Drosophila melanogaster: one gene and its partners. The protein of the gene in region 1 interacts with the protein of each later gene in a pairwise test. Each region holds a gene or a part of one and is shown on either strand. Other genes may lie near its edges.

Evidence for each region. Proteins that work in one complex are often made in the same cells at the same time.
Region 2: the proteins of REG (region 1) and CG17378 interact in a two-hybrid assay, tested with the Drosophila melanogaster proteins (one large-scale study listed by BioGRID).
Region 3: the proteins of REG (region 1) and CG15382 interact in a two-hybrid assay, tested with the Drosophila melanogaster proteins (one large-scale study listed by BioGRID).

Annotation. Positions count from the first base shown.
Region 1 is NC_004354.4:13,210,611-13,215,016, reverse strand, and holds REG (proteasome regulator gamma), read right to left. Parts: upstream 2,693-4,406; 5' UTR 2,625-2,692; intron 2,568-2,624; 5' UTR 2,429-2,567; coding exon 2,059-2,428; intron 1,862-2,058; coding exon 1,494-1,861; 3' UTR 609-1,493; downstream 1-608. Other genes in the region: sno (strawberry notch), read left to right, coding at 3,915-3,917.
Region 2 is NT_033779.5:6,772,224-6,779,057, reverse strand, and holds CG17378 (uncharacterized protein), read right to left. Parts: upstream 5,018-6,834; 5' UTR 4,366-5,017; coding exon 4,171-4,365; intron 3,347-4,170; exon of another isoform or gene 3,276-3,346; coding exon of another isoform or gene 3,228-3,275; coding exon 3,164-3,227; intron 3,094-3,163; coding exon 2,980-3,093; intron 2,920-2,979; coding exon 1,632-2,919; intron 1,559-1,631; coding exon 1,464-1,558; intron 1,402-1,463; coding exon 1,325-1,401; 3' UTR 1,324-1,324; intron 1,263-1,323; 3' UTR 614-1,262; downstream 1-613.
Region 3 is NT_033779.5:2,154,120-2,157,403, forward strand, and holds CG15382 (uncharacterized protein), read left to right. Parts: upstream 1-1,633; 5' UTR 1,634-1,663; coding exon 1,664-2,137; 3' UTR 2,138-2,671; downstream 2,672-3,284. Other genes in the region: AIF (apoptosis inducing factor), read left to right, coding at 1-291, 354-778.

The DNA.
Region 1 (4,406 bases):
GCCTTTTGATTGTAATGTCTTGAAACCCAAAAAAAATATAAAGAACCTACTTTATATCTAGCTGATGTCAGTACTGAGCTTAGATTTAAAGATTTAGCTAAGCCCAAAACGTTGATAATCTTTGTGAAAAATGTTATTGTCATATATAGATTTAAGCCTTACAGGCTAAGTTGTAGGGAACGACGAGAAAATTCCGAATATAGAATATATACTTAACCACTGCCAACAACAAATTAAAAGTGCCTCGAAATCGAATCGAAAGTCCAATTTACCGGACACGAGTTAGGATCAAAAGAAAATAATTAAATAAAAAAAAAAGAAATCGAAAGTATTAGCACTAACTTAATGCATTACTATAAATAATCCACGCAACTAAATTTAGCACACACCAGCAAGAATATTCTTATTTTGTTTGTTTTCCGTCAGCTATTCTAAGTGATAGTTTTTAAAATTGTGAGAAAAAAACTAGAGATGTTAGTTTTTTATGTATGTTTTTGTATGTATGGGGTCGAGATGTAGTTAAATTAGTTGTAAATATAAATTCGATAGTACTAGCTGTAAATAGTAATTATGTTCTTGATTTATTCAATATACACTTCCTTTTTTTTAAACCATTTGGTGTTTTGAATTTTCTGTTTGGCGGGCGTTTGAAGCGAACATGTTCGAACCGAAGTGCCGTAGCAGGCAGCTATAGCATTGCAGCTGTCTGGCAAACACACTTAAAGAAATTGTGCATATATACAGAATTGGTAGATTTGGTAAGCAATATTTAATTCTTGTTTTTTTTTCCAGTTTTAAACAAATATCGAACGCAAAAGAATTTACTATGTGACATTTTGGCGGGCATTTTTAATTCATAGTAACGTTAAGAATTTTCTGAACTGTTAAATCAGAAGGTTGTCTTTTTCGATTGGCCGCATCGAATGCAATAATTTCCACCTTATTAAATGTCTGGGCGCCTGTTTCGATTTTGCGATAGATATCAATCCCCAAAGTAGAACCCATAGTCAATACGTAAAACAAGAAAACAAGCACAGTGTTACCTATTCGGAGCGAATTACTTATAAAGATTTATATTTCACACATTTTTAAGGACATTTTCCGTATGAGGGGCGCCCGTGTTATAAATTTACATTAGGAAATGTTGAAAAAATGTGTCAATGGAGCTCGCCTATTCTTTTTATGCATAGCTATAGCTATTAGTGGAATCTATACAGCATCGGTTTCTTGTATTGTACGCCAATCTCAACATTACATTCTAGACGTAGTACAAATGGATTAATAGTTGATGGTAGTTAGGCTACAGCTATTGTTCAATCACTGCTCTTCAATTAAAGAATTTTGATGTTTGTAAACCGAATTGGAAAATCTTAGCTTTTTGAGTAGCGACAAGAATTGCTGACCGTCCGCTCTACGGGCTGATTATTGATTGAAAAGTAAGATGATGGAAAGGAAAAAAAAAAGTTGAGGCTCGGGCTTCGGAAATACCTAGCCTAATACAGGCTTTCGGTATTTGAGGAGCGCGGCTTCTTTAGCTTCTCGAGGTTCTTAATAACAATGTCGTGCAGCGAGGAGTAGCGATTGCGGACCTCACAAACGACCAGCCACAAGCTGAGGTACTCCTTCTCGTCAAGTTCGACGACTGCGCGCCGATAATCATCGATGTGCGGATACTTGGCCACCTTGGACACCACCTTGGCGCGCGACAAGAAATAGCGCGATATCTGGTCAAAGAAGGCGGCCGCCTCGGATTCCACAGTTTGAATTTCGGCAAGCGTGTCCTCTTGAATGGAGACGCCAAAGTTGTTGCCATCCTCGATCTTGGGTATCATAAAGGAGATCCACATCTTAAGTAGATTGGCTGCAAAAGAAATCAATTCAGAAATTACTAGGTATTCATTAAAAAGCTTAATGTCAGGCAAAACTTTAGCTACTGGCATTTGTACCGTTCGAATGTAAAAATTCTTGGAATTCATTGTTTTAGGAAAATTGAAGGGGCTCTTGAATAGCATAAAAACATTTATTAGGTTGAGACGCTTGAATATACGGTGTACTTACAATCCTCCACAAGCTTCCTGATGATAGGCTTGACGACCTTGATCATCTCGCAGAGCGGCTTGTTGCACGGCACTGTACCGGCGGGCAGACCCATGACAGGCTGCCCAGAGACGATGACATCCACGCGCTGGCGCTTGGTGGGCAGACTGTCACGATCCTCCAACTCGTTTTTAACCAGGAGAGGCGGCAGGACCGGGATGTTGAGGTCCTGGTGCACTTCTTCGAAGTTGCGCTCGTTGAAGATCGGCGTGGCCAGCAGCTCGTTCAGCCGGACGATATTCTCCGGGAACCCCTTGGTGATTAGCAGCTCTGCCTTGAGGATCAACGAGTCCTTGTACTCCTGCACCTTTACCACAGTGTCGTTAGGCATTTCGTTAGCTATGTGGATTCCTTTTCGTGTCCGTGGAAGCCTTTGATCCTGAGTCCTGTCTCCTGGCGTAGTACCGGTTCTTCTCGTTCCTTATCTTCTCAATAACAATCAGCAACGCGGACCGTCTGAAATCGGCGGACTTTTAGGGACTTGTGTCGGCGGATTGCGAAATTGAAAGCGGGAAAACCAGACTTACCGACAAATTTTGATGCCCAAGCAACAACACGCATGTGGTGCTAGAGGTGGAAGAAAAAGAATAATCGATGCTTATCGATAGCGTCGAAGTTTGCAGAAATTTTGCAAATTAATACCCCACAAGTATCTTAAATATCTTGAATGTCAATATATATTTTTTCTATACTTTTTTTAGATTGAAAGTCTTCTAATTACTTTCAGTTTCATAAACAAATTAGCTGAACATTAAAGTTGGCAAAACATATTTAAATGCATTAATGTACATTGCAGTTGGCATCATTTATTTAAATGCAACAGCTGAAGCTCGCTTCTCATTTACCATGTTAAACTTGCATATACTTTGTTGTAACGTGATTAGAATTTAACGGATATATATCATGAAATATAAAGAAATAAGACGCGCGCCATTTATCGATAGTCTTGTGTGCACCGCGTGCCAGACCGATAGATTTGTTTAAATACCAAGTAAGTTTATTATGTCTCCCTTTGTGCAATTTAAAATGTTTTCATTTAAATATCTATATTTTTAAAATATTTTCCATATATATATATTATAAGTAATATTAAGCTATTAATATTTTTAGAGCAAACACGCTATAAATAAGTGTGCCCAAATATAAGTTTTAGTATACATCGGCATTCTTATCAATAATCGTCAAACTGACGTTTTCTCGCTTCACCATTATCGATTCTCATCGATGTTTTTCCAGCTCTATCTAGTTGGCATCTCGTTAGTTGCGATAGTTGGCATGTTACGTGTGTTTTCGGCTTCGTCGCTTCATTCTCGTCTCGTTCTCGTTTCCTTCCTCCTTTATTCCGATTCCTCGTTTTGCGTGTATTGCGCGGTACAACGCATACGAACAAATTTATCCGAAGCGAAATACCGCGTGCAGCAACAAAAGAAAAACACACTCAACAACAACAACACACACGCATGCACACACGCATGCAGTCATTATCGCAACACCAATAACAACAGGAAGAACAACAACAACAAAAACATTTCTAACGCGCTGAAAATTGCGGAGTCCAGCCTTTTATATTTGCTGCATTTGCTATCTAACTTGCCGCACAATTGTTCTGTTCCGTTGACAGCATCAAAAACGCATTGTTAAAAAGAAATTAATATATAAATTTTAAACAAAACACAAAAAAAAACCAAGAAAAGAACGAAAAACGCGTGGGTGCGCGGTCTGTTGATTTTTTTTTTGTGGTTAACAACAACAACAAGAACCATCGGAGGGACGAACATCAAGAACAACCACCGTTAGCAGTAAGCAGGAGAATCAAAATGGTAAGTTTAAGTTAGCTGGCTTTTTTGTTGTTGCCGTCAATAGCATGACTTAATATAAATTTCTTTGTTGCTAAATTTTGACACACTCACATTTACCCACACACACATGCATAAAACAAAAACAAAGCGGCTGCAGAAGCTGATGAAGGAGAATAATAATGAGAAGAAGGAGCAGTAGCCAACTCATTCAATAATTGTTGTTTCTCCTTTTCTTGCGCCTTTCGCTCTTTCCTCGTCCACCCATTTTGTTGTTGTTGCTGTTTTTTTTATCTGCAATTGTTTTCTTCTGTAATTTCTAAGGATGCATTTTATATCGCAGATTCGCGTGGCCTGGAACCATGTGTTTTTCTCTCCCTCTCATACTCCCTCTTAGCGCTCGCCCCTCTCTTTCGTGCACACACGCTGAGTTTAGTTTTGGCGTTTTTTCCCCCGCACACGAGTTAAACGAATTCAGTCGACAAAAGTTGCGCTAGGTTAGGGTTAAGGCCA
Region 2 (6,834 bases), on another chromosome or scaffold:
AATTGTTGTTATAGCTTTTAGCTTGTCTATTGCTATCAGTTATTATTATTAATATTTATCATATTATTTCATTATGAATTCTTGTAATTACGATCATTATTTTCTGTCAGTTGTATTTAGTTTTAATTTATAAATGTTGAAACATGCCCGAAAAATTCTTTGTTTCCCGCACATCGCCTAGGCTTGTTCAATTTGTACAAAGAAGCAACTAAATAAATTATAATTGTTAAATGTATGCAAATCATGGAGAACGAAACATTTTGATCTAAGCTGAATGTCGATTATTTTTTTTTCAAACTGGAAAGTATTCAAGAACCTCTAAGTAGTGCAATTTTTAAAGCAACAACCACAGTAACTAAGAAATTCCAGTCTTATTTATGCGACTAACAAATCAAAATTTTAATTTATTTTAAACATATTTCATTCACACAAAAAAATAAAAAGAAGTTAAGCGAATAATGTTTTTGCGTTGTATCATTTTAATAAAGAACAGAGAATATAAGAATCCATATTGTGTTTTCGTTGACTTTCCTTCTTAAAAATCAATTACCTACTTTTAGGCGGACGTGTTGAAAGAAAAACTATTTTATAATAATTTTAATTAAATTTTTTTGAATTTCGTTAGACTTTTATTAATTTGAATGTATTAAACAATTGCGAAATATTATCTCTTTCATTACAAACATAGTTATAGCATAGTTATTGATCTTGATTTGTAACAATTTAAACTGCGATATTTTAACTATATGCACTGCATAATTTCATAGTATTTAGGTCTATATAAAGTAATCACAAAATATTATTATCACAATTTATGGATACACGTACAGTATTGGTTAAAGTGCCCTCTTATCATTCGCAGTACGGATGTTCTTGTAACTGGTTTTGATTCCAAACTTAATTTTGATATGCGATTCCAATTTGTTTAGCTACGTTGAAAATTGAACGATGACGTCTTTAGAAATCCCAATTTATTAACAACATTATATAATATTCGTCTTTATAGATGTTAAAATAAATACAAGCATTTCCCCATACATTCATTATATTTCAAATCCAGTTACAAGAATGACTATCGTATTAATATCTTTACGGTTACGACAACGCGAGTAAAAACACCAGATTTCAGATAAAACTTCATTGATCTGCTACTTTAGTTAGGATTAGTTTCGAGGTGTCGGCTGACTTAAGACAAAAGTTTAGCTTTAGTTGAGACGAAGATTGAAACTCGATTTTGTTAGGTACTTTTACAATTGTTACTGCTGTGAATTAAGAAAAAAAAGGGTTAGCAATTAATTAATTAATTGATAGCTGTTAAATCACCTCAGGCGTGTCGAGCTCCCCAAAGTTGCGTCTCATGGTACATTCGATATATATTGTCTCTGATTAGTTTGGCTTTATCTGGATGAATTGAAATCTATATTAGTTACTCCAATAATTTAGAAAACTTTAGATGCTTTTACCCTTGGATAGGTTATGGGCCACCACGTTCTTTTTCAGAAAGTCAAGGCACAATTCCTGGGATGTCCCCAGTGAGTGCATATTGCACGTCAATGCCCTGTGGATAAGTGTGTATTCCATAATAAACACTTTGGAAAAATGAAACATTTCCAGAATCAAGAAGAACTCACCCAAGCTGCCGAAATGCAATGTCCTCCTGGTCCCGAAGCGAATGCGCCTGGGTGAGACTGGTCTTGCTGGGCCTCCGGTTGGCTGGAATGGAACCAGTGCAGGCTTGAGCCGCCGGAGTGCCCGACTGTGCCGCCTGATGCGAGGAGCTGGAGGAGGAGTCGCCGCCCTGTTTGCGCTGCGACTTGGTAGGCGGGCCATCTGCAGTTCCCGCTCCTGATCCTGCTCCGGCAGCTGCCTGCCGTTGCTGCTGCTTCTGCTGTCGACGCTTTTGGCGCCTCATCTGGCTCTGACCCCGATGCTCCCGTTCCGCCTGCATGCCGTCGTGGAAGATTGCGTTCCAGAACCGCGCCTGCTGCCAGATGGGTTGCTGGCGCAGCGAGGAGAACAGGTACTCGCGATAAGGATCGCAGCCGGGCACCTCGACCTCGTGGTAGAAAAGGAAACAGAGGTTCATCAGTACCGCAGCCGGGCCATAATCCTCGCACTCGCTGCACTCAAACAGGGCCAGTGCAAAGTATTGGGCCAGACTGCCGAACGTGACCGAGTCCAGTCGCTTGGACTTGTGGCGCTGCTCGGTGAGAAAGCGGGTGAACCACAGTCGACCGATCTCCAGACGCAGCAATACGCCAAACTCCGACTTCAGCTCAAGATCAACGGCTCCCGGAGATCCGCCAAATAGCAGAGCGGTAAAGTGCTTCATAAACTCCTTGACCGGTTCCTCGCCCGCTCGGCAATCCAGGCTGATGGAGGAAGCCCATGAGGGCACCGAGTTCTGCGACTCCGATCGGATAAAGTGCCGCCAGTCGGTGGACTCCATGCTGGGGCTGGCCAATAGCTGATCCGGCTCATCGCGCAGGCTGGTCAGAGTGCTGCTGTTCGAGGCGCGACTGCGCGACGGAAGGCGCATCGAGTTGCTTCCGCCCGCCCACTGCTGCCGTCCTCCGGATCCCGCTCCCGCCTCCGTCGGCGGCTGAACATCTATGTGCGGCGGCACAGTGTCGCCCACTTCGCCGATCCTCTGGACATCCTTTTGCATGTCCATCTCGCTGCGACGGGCTCCTGCGATTGCCCTGGCCCTCTCATATCCGCCGGAGTGACGCGACTCTATGGAATCCGAGCGTGTGGTGCTGCTCACGTCATGAGAACGATTGGCCATATGCTCGGGCAGGGATACAGAGCTGCTGTCGTCGCTGCTGCTGGAGCTGCTCGAGGAGCCGGAGCTGGAGCGAAGGGGTGCACCCAGTTTGCTGGCCGCATGACGCCCACGTGATGGTTCCAGACGTGGCCCTAAAAATGAGTTGAAATATAGGACTCCGATGATTTGGTTTGTAGTTGTGTTGTACTTACTCGGTGCCAAATTGGGCTGACGATATCGTCCTGAGATGATCTCCTCGTGAGCTCGTCGCGCCTTCACACGTCGTCCTTCGAAGTCGATCTTGGTATAATCAATGCTCTCGTCAACTGTGAAGTAAAATCATATTGTATGCCCAAACTGTATTCGTTTGTATCTATGGTACTTCGCAGTACTCACACTTGGGTATATCTTCATCGTCATCGCAGTAATCAGAGTCGCTGGAACTGCTGCTCAGGGTCAGCTGTACGTAAACAAAGTAAAAGGCGCATTTCAAAAGAAAGTCGATCATATGTGGGGTGTACTGAATATACTTTCGAATATGTATATATCTGAGGCCTAATTGAGTCAGTTTGATTTACAACTGCCTGACGTATTTTGAAAAGGTTTCTACCTGCTATAAAAGGATTCCGCTAAGTTTTGGAACTCCTACAAGTGGTTCGTATCATACATTAGAAGCATGATAAATGCAATTTAAAAATCTGCAATGATTACTTAACACACAGTTCTGAATGATTGATAATCCAAGGAAAACATAGCTTTAGAAATATCGAAGGCTGCACGCCTTCCTTCTTCTCGGCTGCTGCAAATATAATTAATTTCAATCAAGGACAAGGCTGCCGAGCCCGAAGCGAGAGAAAGTCAAGTACAAGCGGAGCAGCAGAGAATGTACCCCCCCCCCCCCTTTTTGCATTTCTAGCCCCATCCATAGCCGGCACATGCCCCAAGCGCTGACTGGGATTGGGATTCGGGCCTCCCCACTGAAGGTCAACCGAGTGCAGCAGCAAAGCGGAAATAGCAAGAACAAACACAACGGCACAACAAAAGCATCAAAGTGTCAGTTGCTTCTGCTTTTGCAGCATAGACAGAACCCACACACAATCCCCTTTCCCCCCGCAACCACCAGCAAGCACCTCTTGTCGCGTTCATTACCAAGGCTGCCCCAACTGAGCCCTAGAGGTATGCGTGACCCACAGTCACTCGTGAGTCCATGAAATATGTCTATGGTATTTTATGTAATGAATCCTACATAGCATCTTAACAAAGTAATAACCAGCTAACGTAACTTAGTGCCAGGTTTAAAACAATCTTTAGTAACTAATCCCTAATTAGTACTACCATGACCCTTGTAGTATTTGTATCTTTTACCACGCTGCTCACGCTGTCATCACTAGTTGTAGTCATACCTTGTTCGATATTCCGTTGAGCAGCTCGTTGCTGTTGCCCAGCACGGTGAGGAACTTGGACTTGAGGGCTCCAATGCTGGGCGTCCGTTCCATGAACAGTTTGATCTTCGATCGCTCGCCGGCGAATCCGCCCGGCGGTGTTCCCGTTCCAGGCATTGCGCCCGGAGTGGGTGGCTGCGGCTTGGCATCCACCATGGAGATAGTGTCCTGCCCCAAGTCCACTGGAAGTACGATGTTCGGGCTCAAGGGACCTGCTGCGCGATGATGCAGTTCCTTGTGGCTAATTGGGAGCGGTCGTAGAGCGTTGCAACTGCTGATGCTTCTGGTATCGATTTTTCATTTGCCTGCATGTCATACACACTGGGTGAAGGTGAACATTGCACTGCAGTTTTTTTGGCGCACTTCATGTACTTTGCAAGCTTAAATTCTTGTACCTTAAATTCGTCACCCTTTTTGATTAATTTTCATTATTATTTTTGCCAATTTATGCAACTTTTTGCTAAGCAAACACTCAGCTTCTTTTGTTTTAAATATATACCTGATTGAATGATCGTAGGTTTTTGGGCTACTAAACTAGTATAGGGCAAAGTAATGTCAGGATAATCGGTAAATTATAAAGGCACTTTTTTAACGCTTAATTTTTCGCACGTACTGCTTGAGCGCCCAACTGGGATACTACTAGTAAATTCTCAATTCCCCTGGCCCACAACTACACACTCTCTCACACACACTAGCGCACGCACACGCCCCTTTTGTACACGCAACACGATGGCGGCAGGCTAACCGTAAATATTTTCCTTTGAGTTTTCCACTCGCGTCCATTGCCTGCAGCGAACATTTCGCGAATGCAGCCGGAAAATGCTGGCCAAAACTCAGGGGTTTCGTTAACATTCGAAGGGCTTTACGTTCGCAGCTGTTATCGATTGCAAGAAAATCTACATAATATCTACATGCCACTTCGAATAGAATATTGCTCGGGAAAAGCTCGGCCGGAAAATGGCGCGCGATTTCTACACAAGCGCTCATGGGAAAGCTTCCCGAATGCTTTGCAGTGGCCGAAGGAGAGGAACCCGGCATTTTAACTTGTTTACATACAGCTGACAGTCAGCTGATCCTGAAAACATCGGCTTGCGTCAAACGCGGCAAGGTCACTGCGTGGGCGGCCCACCCATTTTTGCAGGATGGTGGGCAAATGGTCTCCCAACCGAAAATGTGCGTGCCGGCAATTGTCGAACTTTGACTTTGTCGCGCAGCCAATTTATTATGCATTGTATTTATTTTTAGACCAGCTAGCTAGGAAAACCGAAAATGGACCCACCCACGGAGGCTTTAATTCCATAATTCCCATCCATCGTCCATCCATCGAAATTGCCACTCGATTTGCACCTCCGGCCGGCAGCAGGTGGCCCATGGCGATGCTTTTATTGCTGATACCATTTGTTCGATCCAAAATTAATAGATGTTCTTCTTTATTGTTAGCATTAAATGTGCAGAATTTGTTCAAGGCTAAACTGCGGGAGATCCCTTCAGATACTTGTTTTTCATAAATCATAATTATAGCTGGCGTGTATCCCGATGAACGATTCAGCGCTTTCCCCAGGCGCCACGGTTTTTTGGATAAAATATTAGATAAATAATAAGAATTAATGCGGAAATATTTATGTTATCTGAAATTCCATTGAACTTGAACTTTGGTAATGATATATGTAGGTACGCCATAAAGTTCAATAGTCGATCAGATCGCAGGACATCAATTCGATACAATTGTCATATTTTCATTCATGAAAAAGAAACGCAACAAGTAATCAGTTCCGTATAACAACGTAAAATGTTTAACAACAAATAGCTGAGAATGATATATATTCGAGAATTAATGATATTCACACACGCGACGGCGTCTCGCAGTCAAAATGTTCTATGCCGCTCGAAAACGATGTATTTATAAAACAACGCGAAAATGCTGAAAATAGGAAAGAGATGCGACTGATCGAGGATTGAGGGGATCACCAGGGGGAAACCGTACCAGACGAGACCAGAGGAGCACATAGATCTGCGTTGACTTCCTCCTACTCGGGCGACGACTGGGGACCGCGGACTGCAGTAAAAGTGCTGTTTAGAATCTGATTGAGATTTCAGTTCGCTGGGAGACGATCGTCGAACGAGACCGTAGCTGAATTTTCATGTCGCGCTGTGGCTAGATATCAGGAAAATATATATATCCCTATATATATATATATATATATATATATATATATATATATATATATATTCATGTGCTACCAGCTGGCAGTGGCAGTTTTGAGTGCGGCAAGACGCGTCAAGTGAAATCGAATTATGTAAGTGACCTCTGATTTCGCGGATATCCAACCGTTCATGGTCGATCGAATCCATTACGAAAGTTCAAAAGCCAATTTAAAATCACACCGCAATTAAATCGATCTCAAGTGTTCTAAATATAAAACTCAGCTAATTTTAAACGCGGAGAACGCTCTCCATGGGAAAGTTCAAGGCATTGGCCGGGATAAACAATCAAAGCGTAAAATAAAGTATACAAAATTAAATCAAATTTTTTAAGCTAATTTGCCAATTTGAAATAATGAAAAACTGTGAACTAAAAAAAAAAACGCAAATATAGGCAAGCCAAAGAAATGTTTAAAAATAGTT
Region 3 (3,284 bases), on another chromosome or scaffold:
AAACCAATCTAAAGTTGGAGTTAAACAATGGAATGACTTTGATGTCGGACGTGGTGGTGGTCTGCGTGGGTTGCACGCCAAACACGGATCTCGCGGGACCCAGCAGGCTAGAGGTGGACAGAAGTCTCGGCGGTTTTGTGGTTAATGCAGAGCTGGAGGCCAGGCGGAACCTGTACGTGGCCGGTGATGCTTCCTGCTTCTTCGATCCTCTGCTGGGCAGGCGACGGGTGGAGCACCATGATCACTCGGTGGTCTCTGGTCGGCTGGCCGGCGAGAACATGACGGGAGCAAGTAAGTTACTGGGCTTAAAGTTAATAACCGATCGATCATAATGTTCGCCGTACCTTTTGCAGAGAAACCTTATCAACATCAGAGCATGTTTTGGTCCGATCTAGGTCCAGAGATCGGATACGAGGGTATTGGCTTGGTGGATTCCTCGCTACCCACCGTTGGTGTGTTCGCCCTGCCCTCGGAATCCGCCACGCGCGTTGACCAACTGTCTGAGTCTAGTGATTCCGACGTGCCGGAGACCAGTACGAGTTCCAGCCAGTCGTCAAAATCTGATGCCGGGGCTAGCCAAGATGGCGTTACCTGTGATCCCGATGAGGCGGGCAACTATGGCAAGGGTGTAATATTCTACTTGAAGAACGACAAGATCGTCGGCATCCTGCTGTGGAACCTCTTCAATCGGATAGGCTTAGCTAGGACAATAATCAATCAGAATAAGAAGTACGATGACCTCAATGAGGTGGCCAAACTGTTCGAGATTCACGCGTAGAGAACAGCGAGTCCCGAGGGACCATGGAGAAGATCTGGCTACCCTGATATGCTTATCAGCACGCACCGAACAGAACCTATCCAACCCGAATGCCTTTAACTGTGTTTACTGTGTACATTTGCAACTGCAACTAGATACGAACGGCAATGACGCAATGCAACAGAAATTTTAGTTTTATTATTTTTGGAATAAACCTTATTTTGTAGTCAACGACATTGATTCGGTTATGTAGCAGCAAAGTGCATATCTCCGTGTAAATATTGAAAAGTCGTAGACAAGCGGGTCTCTGTTGAATTGTGTGTAACTTTCGTAATAAACCAAGCACCAGAAAGTTGTTGACAAAAAATTCACCGTACCAACTAAACTGTTCAAATTATTCATTTTCGGTGTTGAAAAATCCGCTTTTTGATCCTGAGGCACCCGTTATTTAACTAATCCTAAGAGATTTTGCTTTGATTCTTATTTAAATAAATCGTAGGAACTTTGGAACTTATTTTTTTTACTTCAATCATATAACCCATTTGTTTATTGTCCGAGTTGTCTCACAACGGCACAGAATTTAAATGTACATATTTTTTTGGAATTTTCCCAGAATTTGACTAAACCATCTGCCTTATAAAAGACGAGCACCTGGTTTAGGGTTTTAGGCTGGATTAGCTGAATATAGCGAGGATCAATAAAATTCGCGAAATATTATTTTCGCTGAAGTAGGATCCTACCTGACTTCTTGTGCCAAAGGTGGTTACTTATTAGGGCCACTCGGATTACCGACCAATTGGTAGGTAGAGCCCGAGAACGGGTGGCCCATAAGCAGGTACATCCTTGGGATATATAAACTTTGCCCTGAGACAAGCAGGACATCAGTTCCTTCTCGACAGTCTAATCATGAAGTACCGCATGTTGAATAAACGCAAACAGGCGACTCCCTCGCCAGTAAGAGATTCCGACGCAGCCGACGTAGCCATGGCCAACCACAGTGCTCTGGAACTGGAGGCGGCTGCGGCTCTCTTGTTGCTCCGCTACCAATACGATCGACAAGTGTGCAATAACATTATAACCTACACGGAGTCCTGTTCCCCGACTCCACCGCCGGCAGTTGCTGACAACACGACGCCAAAAGATCAGACTGTTCGTCCGCCAGTCGCCAGCCAGCCGCTGAAGAAGCGCTCCATACCATCGCACATCCTCCGCAGATCCCTGACTCCGGCCAAATCCGAGACTTCAGTGAGCAACAAGTCGATAGTCAAGGCCAAGACGAGGACTCCAATTCCCAGTAAGGAGCGAAACTGCAACAGGACCTTGCTTAAGTCCTGCAGAAATATGATTCGAGAGTTTTTGGACAATCAGGAGTTTATCTAAAAAAAAAAGTTTAACTATGTATCCTAGGATAACCGCCTGAAACCAATTCTACATTTGTAATTTTACACAAATCAAGATTTTAGAAATCTTCGCAAAAAACGCCACAGTGAATTGCACGATTGCAGAAAAGATCGAAACGAAATCCTTAAACAAATGTAGCCCAGTATATAACAGTCCCGAGAAAGATGAAGGCGATCGATCCTTGGGATCTTGGATTTCAGTTTTCAATTTATTTATTGCATATAAATTTGTTTCCTTTTTTATACATATATAAATTATGTATTGATCGAAAGATAACGTTTTCAATGGAAGAACAGGTATTGTGGCGACACTAGAGTGCTAATTATTAGCTATTGGCGGTGTTTAAACTTAAGGCGTACGAAAAACAAATAGAAAATTAACTTTAGCGTAGATCTACACAATAATTAATAATTACAGTTGCACTACAGGCTAATTGTATGAACGTGCAGCGATGATATCTTCTCCTAACTCTGTTCATTCCGTTTAATGTAATTAATAAAGTGCTTCAAATGTACATTTTCTATTGTTTCATTGTGTTTTTAGCGGGTGAGTGCGTTGTGGGTGGTGGTGGGTTGTGGAAGTGTGGTGGTAAGATCGTAAGCGTTTTACAAACTAAAGTTGTTAATGCTTAAATGAACACCTTCATTTGCTGCCACAGCGATTGCAGCCACTTAAACTAGCGTACAAATAATAAAAATAAAATTAAGAGCAATAGAAAACTAATGTGTATACATATATGCTTGTGTGTATCATCATTGCTATATTAAAATGGAAGCCAATGTTTTTCTATCCGTGTTTCTTGTTGCAGTGTATCTAGGGCTAGGGGCTCAATTGAAATTGAATTTTGAAAGCTCTTTTTCCAGGCTGATCTTGAAGCAAGAGCAGACCCATCCTCGCACGAAGGATCGCCAAACTGTTGCAGGATGGCTTTTTGGAACTGCTCTGGTTTCGTTAGCATTCAGCCAATGTGAATCAAAGATAATTCTGTTGTTATCACACGAAATCAATTTGTCTTGTTGTATACAAAAACTCTTTCTATGCTGATTTGTATATTAATTAACAATTTCGACAACAATTCAAATTTCATATTTCCTTCACATTCTCTCTTTAGATTTTAACAATATTT